Linked DNA regions of Saccharomyces cerevisiae S288C. The protein of the gene in region 1 interacts with the protein of each later gene in a pairwise test. Each region holds a gene or a part of one and is shown on either strand. Other genes may lie near its edges. The genes, in order: SGN1 and RIE1.

Evidence for each region.
Region 2: the proteins of SGN1 (region 1) and RIE1 interact in binary tests that used the Saccharomyces cerevisiae proteins (3 or more experiments, as listed by UniProt).

What each region holds. Positions count from the first base shown.
Region 1 is NC_001141.2:355,556-359,087, reverse strand, and holds SGN1 (Sgn1p), read left to right. Parts: upstream 1-2,192; coding exon 2,193-2,945; downstream 2,946-3,532. Other genes in the region: MPH1 (3'-5' DNA helicase), read left to right, coding at 1-1,673.
Region 2 is NC_001139.9:990,445-995,278, reverse strand, and holds RIE1 (Rie1p), read left to right. Parts: upstream 1-1,757; coding exon 1,758-4,103; downstream 4,104-4,834.

The DNA.
Region 1 (3,532 bases):
AACTAATGGACTTTTTTCAGAAAAGGGGTTCCGACTCGAGGGTTATTATTTTTACAGAATTAAGAGAAAGCGCACTTGAAATTGTGAAGTTCATAGACTCGGTAGCTGACGATCAAATCAGGCCTCATATTTTTATTGGACAAGCTCGTGCAAAAGAAGGTTTTGATGAGGTCAAATACACAAGAAAACATGCGCCAAAGGGAAGGAAGAAGGTAGAGAGATTGCATAGGCAAGAGCAAGAGAAATTTTTGGAAGCTGAACGAACTAAGAGAGCGGCGAATGATAAACTTGAAAGAAGTGCCAGACGAACGGGGAGCTCTGAAGAGGCTCAGATTAGCGGAATGAACCAAAAAATGCAAAAAGAGGTTATCCATAATTTCAAAAAGGGTGAATATAATGTTCTCGTTTGTACATCAATTGGAGAAGAAGGTTTGGATATCGGAGAAGTTGATTTAATAATCTGTTATGATACTACAAGTAGTCCAATCAAAAATATTCAGCGTATGGGTAGAACAGGCAGAAAACGAGATGGTAAGATAGTACTACTGTTTAGCAGTAATGAATCATACAAATTCGAGCGTGCTATGGAAGACTATTCAACCCTGCAAGCGCTTATATCCAAGCAATGCATTGACTATAAAAAATCAGATCGGATAATCCCTGAAGACATTATTCCGGAATGTCACGAGACATTGATCACGATTAATGATGAAAACGAAATAATTAATGAAATGGAAGATGTTGACGAAGTTATTCGTTATGCGACTCAGTGTATGATGGGCAAAAAGGTGAAGCCAAAAAAAGCCATAACAAAGAAGAAGAGAGTTCAGGAAAATAAAAAACCGAAGAAGTTCTTTATGCCTGATAATGTTGAGACCAGTATTGTTAGTGCAAGCACTTTAATTAATAAGTTCTTGGTGAATGAAAGTGGCGGGAAACAACTAGTAACGAGTAATGAAAACCCAAGTAAGAAGCGGAAGATTTTTAAAGCTTTGGATAATCTGGAGAATGATTCAACCGAGGAAGCTTCCTCCTCATTAGAAACTGAAGATGAAGAAGTCAGTGATGATAATAATGTTTTCATTGCGGAAGGGCAGAATGGATGCCAAAAAGATTTGGAAACTGCCATTATTCGCACTGGCGAAAGTCTTACCACACTCAAGCCACTTCATAATTTTGAACGCCCTAATATGGCTTTATTTGTGAATGATTGTGGTCTTCCAACTAAAATCGAGAAAAATGTGAAAGACATCCGAGGAAATCAACACAACCTTGAAAAAGAAAAGAGCTGTACTGTTGACAAGAATAACATGGTATTGAGTTTGGACGATTGGAATTTTTTCAGAAACCGCTATATCCCAGAAGGTGTTTCCTTCGATGTGGAGCCCAATTTTGTACAATACACCAAAGGGGTAAAAGTTCCGCATTGTCACAAAGTTTCAAAAATCATTACGTTATTTAACGACGAGAGTAATGATAATAAGAAGAGGACAATTGATATGAACTATACTAAATGTTTGGCGAGAGGCATGTTACGAGACGAAAAAAAATTTGTAAAAGTTAACGATAAAAGTCAAGTCGATAACAACAGTGTCAACCATGATTCATCCCAATCTTTTACCTTATCGAACGCAGAATTAGATGACATACTGGGCTCAGATTCTGATTTTTGATAGGAGACTCTTATACGTCGGCGTCTATACAAAAATAACGCTGCTGTAATATTTAAGTATTTATAGATTTTTCTATATATCGCATAAATACTTCAAGGACATTATATTTTTAGTATCAACTTATTTTCTTTAGAATTTTTCATTCATTAAGGATACGGCACTGTTTTTGAAGCAACAAAATATAAAAATTGAGCCAACGACGAGTACAATCTGTAATCTTCCACGCCTACCAATGCAAAACCTTTCTGTCATGAAGCACTAAGCATAGCGCTTCAATTTGTGGCAATCACCATAATAAACAGCTTGTTTCTTGGAGGATATGAAAAAGATTATCAATCATTCGTTAGGTGAAAAAAAACCGCAACAATTTCCTACACTCCGAAAAGTAACCTTAAAATGCAGCAAATTTCAAATTTAATTTTGATTAAGTAAGTAATCTCAACTTTCGCTCTCCAACCAGGCCTATTAACATAAACATATATCTGCTGTCACATAGTGTCATCATTTGCAATTGCTGTTATGTCCCAGGAAGAGAAAGTGGATGCTAAGGCAACCTTAAAGACTGAAATTTCGAACAATAAAAAGAACGACAAGCAAGAGCTCGAGCTGGATGAACTTGTGGGTAAACTATCTATCGAGGGCACTCCACAGGTGTCGCAAAAGCTAAGCAAGGAGGAAAAACACGCTCATCAACTTGAAGCTGACTCGCGTTCTATCTTTGTCGGTAACATCACTCCGGATGTCACCCCAGAGCAAATAGAAGATCATTTCAAAGACTGTGGCCAGATAAAAAGAATAACACTTCTTTATGATAGGAATACGGGAACACCAAAAGGCTACGGCTATATTGAATTTGAAAGTCCGGCATACAGAGAAAAAGCCCTGCAATTAAATGGAGGAGAACTTAAAGGCAAAAAAATTGCTGTCTCCAGAAAAAGAACTAACATTCCAGGATTTAATAGGCATTACAACTCGCAAAACCAGTATTTCCAACAATGGCAATGGAATTATCCCTTAATGGCCTACCCCAATCCCGATACCTTCCCTTATTACCCACCGTACCCTCCAAATCAGTCTCCAAATCAAAATTTCGGATATAATAAGAACAATTATTATAGGAGTCCTTACAATAACAAGAATAGAACCTTCCAAAAAAAACACTTCAACAGTGCCAAAGACTCTACAAAAAATATTAGATCTACTTCCCAAAAACCTGTTGTCATGCCGTCTGACAACGTTAAAAGTTCTACCCAAGAAAAAGATTCGAAATAAACACAAGGCTTTCATGTGTATACTTAATAATAATTAAGTGAGCTGCTGCTTTGAATAAGTTGAAGGACAACTGGTGTTATCTCGCTTGTCTATCCAAACCTTCAAGAATAGGGTAAATGCAAAAGCAAATATAAAATGCCACAACTACAATCAAAAAAAGAAATGTCATCGCTTGTTACAATATTTTCATTCCTTTATTCAAGGATTTTTTTTTTTAATTTTTCGTTAAAAAATATTGATCACTTTATAGGGAATATTATGTACCTGGCTACAGCTGAAGCTTGCCTCTGTATGTAAAGTATCTAAAATATATCAATTTTTTTTTTTGGATAACACCTGTTTTCATTACCCTGTATCTCGTATTCGTGAAAATAACTATTCTGAAGTAATAATTATAAAAAACATTTCGGAAAACAAAACCATTAATAATTTGTTTTTAATTTTAAATATCAATATTATAATAATTTATAATATTATAAAAATTTAATTAAAAATATAAAAATTTTCACGTGAATCATATGTATATATATTTTTTACAGAAAAAGTATCATACTTCTTATTATAATTGTCATTATATTTTTTAAGAG
Region 2 (4,834 bases), on another chromosome or scaffold:
CCAAAGTGGCACGGCTTCTTTGTGTAAATGCCTTCCACTATTTTATTCAAGAGGTTGTAGGAAATGCCTCTCTTCAGATCTTCCAAACAATAACATTACATAACTGAACAGTGAAGGAGCATTCTGGTTTACTGTAAAAGTCTCCTCCTTGTCCCTCCTTGTTTTCCAATTAAGAAACTTTGTAGCGTCTAATTCATTGTAGTCCTGGTTCCTTGGCTTCGATCTTCTTTCAAAATACCAAAGCTTTTTTGAAAGGCAGTGTCTTAAAGATACTACGAATGTGGCTGCGTATCATATATGTATATGTATATATACAATTATATTCTATGTTTGAAAAGGTCGTTTTTCGTTCAGAACACTCGTATATCTTCGGCGGTTAGAAAAGATAGTGAAACTAAAGGAGGAGACTATAGAGACACTGCATTGTATTGAATAAACAAACAAGGCGACGACTCACTATTACAAAGTATTTTCATGGATGCAGCCCTAAATAAACCGTTGTATCTTATATCATTACGCTCAATAATCGTTAATGAAGAAGAAGGGCGGCTATTTTCGTAAATTACACTACAAACTTCAATTACATACGCAATTCTTGTCACATGCCAATGAGCACTATATCATATGCTACAAGCTCACATACACAAGGGTTATGTTTCCTTAGCGGCATATTTTTGAAAGTCAAAAAATGTGTACAACAGAGAGAAAGAGGAGGGCCGCAACAGCTTGAAGACAACAGATGAGAGCCAAGTTCGTATGTGGATTACGTCCGAAGGAATTGAACTTCCCAAGAGTAATGTGTACGGGACTGATCGAAATTCTCTCTTTTTCCTTAGAGCGTCTTTCTGCAGATCGCCACTACTATTCCTAGCGGAAGAAACAAAAGAACGAAAAAAAAAACACTAGCCTATGCAAAGGGGAATATAATCATATGGGAATACAAGGATTGTAGTACTTGCATATTGTTCCGGCCCAACCCATTTCAAGATCCAACTACTTCATGGTAGGAAGCACAGTTTTTACATTCCCGAGAAGCAGCGCCCGCTTATTGCCCCGATAGAAGCAAAAACACCGCAACTCGTGGTTACGGGGTAAGAAACCGAAAATTATTTAATCATCTACGGGGCTACGCTTTTACATAATCTCTAGAGTATTCTAGAGAATTGAGATGATTTATGTCTTTTCCCGGCTAACATGCAAGTAGAATGCGGATAAGCCTCATGGAGCGTGGTTGATTAATCGACACTCTCGGTATTCTCTTGTGTACGTACGATGTTTCTCCCGCTGATCCGATTACTAGCCGAAGACGTAAAATTGGCGCTTGATTCAATTTATGCCCTTCCCGGGAATAGTTGACCAAAGGGCAAAAAAATTCAGTCGGAGATTCCCTATTGGGCGGAATTTAGTAGATCTCTTTCCGTGCATAACGCCTGCCCGTTAGTCGTTATTTCACGTTAACATTTTCTTGGCCACTGCGCTATATAAATAAATACATATATATATGTCAAGCACAATAAAGAAACTTCCCTTAAATATTGAATAAGTAAATAATAGTTGAAAAGTGCCTTTTGTTCGAAGGATTAGAGTGTTCTTAATTTTAGTTCGTTCAACGGTCTCAAAAAAAGTGTGAACAAGTAAAGCATAGCACACATCCCAAATTACAAGGCACCCTGATTAAAAATCCAAAAATAAACCATAAGTTTTATTTTACTAAAAACATTATACGTGAAAGACAAACCGCATCAGAAGTTTCGAGGATGAATATTGCAGAAGAACCATCAGATGAAGTAATATCTAGTGGCCCCGAGGATACAGATATCTGCAGCCAGCAGACATCAGCGAGCGCAGAAGCTGGAGACCAATCAATAAAAATTGAAAGGAAAACTTCCACTGGTCTTCAACTGGAACAATTGGCCAACACAAATTTATTAACCATAAGAATAAAATGGCAGTTACAAGAAGAAGAAGATGATCACTGCAACTCTAGAATAACCGATCAAATAATGGACACAATACAGCACTACAAAGGTATCTCCGTTAACAACTCTGATACAGAAACATATGAATTTCTTCCGGATACAAGGAGGTTACAGGTTCTCGAACAAAATAAAGACATCTATCTTTACGAGCATGGAAGTCAAGAGTATGAGAAATCTTACAAAGATAACGAAGAGGAAGATGATTGGAGATACGATACCGTTTTGCAAGCACAATTCAAGTACCCCAAGTCATTAGAAAATGCATGTACAGATATCTCGGAATTACTCAAGAGCGAACCTATTGGTCAGCATATTGATAAATGGTCTATCGGTGTGAACAAGCATGCACTAACCTATCCTGGAAATATTTTTGTCGGGGGAATAGCAAAGAGCCTTTCTATTGGTGAACTAAGTTTCTTATTTTCAAAATATGGACCAATTTTATCAATGAAATTGATATATGATAAAACGAAAGGCGAACCTAACGGATACGGGTTCATCTCCTACCCCTTGGGTTCTCAAGCTTCACTTTGCATCAAGGAACTTAATGGAAGGACGGTAAATGGCTCCACACTATTTATCAACTATCACGTTGAGCGAAAGGAGAGAGAAAGAATCCATTGGGACCATGTCAAAGAAAACAACAATGATGATAATTTCAGGTGTCTCTTTATAGGCAACTTGCCTTATCACAATCCTGAAAAAGTAGAGACTTTGATTACACCTAAAGAAGTCATAGAAGTAATCAAGAAGGAGTTATCAAAAAAGTTTCCGGACTTTGATATCATTTCATATTACTTTCCGAAGAGAAGTAATACAAGAAGCAGTAGTTCAGTAAGTTTCAATGAGGAGGGGTCAGTAGAATCAAACAAATCTTCCAATAATACTAATGGAAATGCCCAAGATGAAGATATGTTGAAGGGTTATGGTTTCATCAAGCTTATCAACCATGAACAAGCACTAGCAGCCATCGAGACCTTCAATGGGTTCATGTGGCATGGAAACAGGCTCGTTGTTAATAAGGCGGTTCAACATAAAGTTTACAACAACCACAATAGCCATGACAGGCACCCTTCCATCAGTAACCACAATGATATGGAGGTTTTGGAATTTGCAAATAACCCAATGTATGATTACAATAATTATACATATGATAGATATTACTTCAACAATAATAAAAACGGGAACAGCAACGATACCTCCAATGTACGGTATTTTGATTCTGTAAGATCAACCCCTGTGGCAGAGAAAATGGATCTGTTCTATCCTCAAAGGGAATCTTTCAGTGAAGGTCGTGGTCAACGTGTGCCTAGATTCATGGGCAACAAGTTTGACATGTACCAGTACCCATCAACTTCTTACAGCTTACCTATACCAATGAGTAATCAGCAAGAATCAAACCTATATGTCAAGCACATCCCTCTTTCTTGGACAGATGAAGATTTATATGATTTCTACAAATCTTTCGGTGAAATAATCAGCGTTAAGGTCATTACTGTTGGGGGTAGTAAGAACAAGTATCGTCAACAATCGAATGATAGCTCATCAGATAATGATCTGCCAGTGGGATCATCAAGAGGTTATGGTTTTGTTTCTTTTGAAAGCCCATTAGATGCTGCTAAGGCAATTTTGAATACAGACGGGTATCAAGTGAGCAAAGATCAAGTGTTATCTGTTTCTTTCGCTCAGAAACGTGGTAATTTATCTTCAAGTGATGATGATGATCAATCCCAAACTGATAACTCATCAAAGTTCCAAAATTTTCAGCCACATAATGATTATCATAAGGCTTATCCAACAAAGTATAATAAGAAATTTATCAATGCCTTGATGACTCAGAACCAATCGCAACAGCAAGTCTCGAGGGAAAATTATTTCATACCACTGCAGTACCCTAATACCAACACAAAGCCCGTGAACAGTTACAACTTAATAAGTGCAAACCAAAATAACGCTAACTGGATGATGCCAATGTTCCCATCATTTGGGTTTATTCCACAGGTGCCGCCAGTGCCCTATATAATACCTCCGCAGAATCCTGCAGCAAATCATATTCCTATAATGGCAAACGGTAGTAATGAAGAGGAAGAATTTTCTAGTGGTGATTATTCTATGGACTACTAGATTGCATCAGGTCCATAAAATGTTTTTGTCTGCTTTTTTTTCTTCATGTATTAGTTGGTTTTTATTTTTATATTTTCATTTATCTTATTCATACTTTTTACTCCTTTTTTCTTCATTCTTTACGATCTTGGACATTCAACTAGCCTATGGTAACTTTTCTTATTACTTTGCCCCTCCTTGAGGTGAGTAAATTCTGCATCTATTTTTTTACTATGCAAAGGATAGATAAACAATTCACATGAATGTCAAAATTTTGAAAAACACTCATTATTCAAAAAGATTGCATAAAAAGATATACACTTAAAGTGCAAGATTATACCAACTTTCAGAATACGGAGAGGTTTTTAAGTGGATGAGCATTTTTTCATAACGTTCTAAAACGATATTTACAGTATTTGGTGGCTAAATGAAAAAAAGCCGTATCATGACTGTGCTAGAGAAAGTGTGGCAGTTACATAAATCAAAAGATACAATTTAGGTGCGGCCTCTATAGCCAATGCATGCTCACTGAATAGCACAACAAATTTTTGTTTGGCTAAAGCGATATCCTTTTCGACTTGCAGTTCCACTGCAAGTCGAGTATATTTCGGCAGACAATGTCATTCAAATATCTTGCCTACACTAAGAAATATGTCTCTCTTCTACAAATGTTCAAGTTAGGACATGCCGTAAATATGAAAATATTTGAGCAGATCAACCTTTCTAGAGTTTAAACATTGAAGTTTCCAATG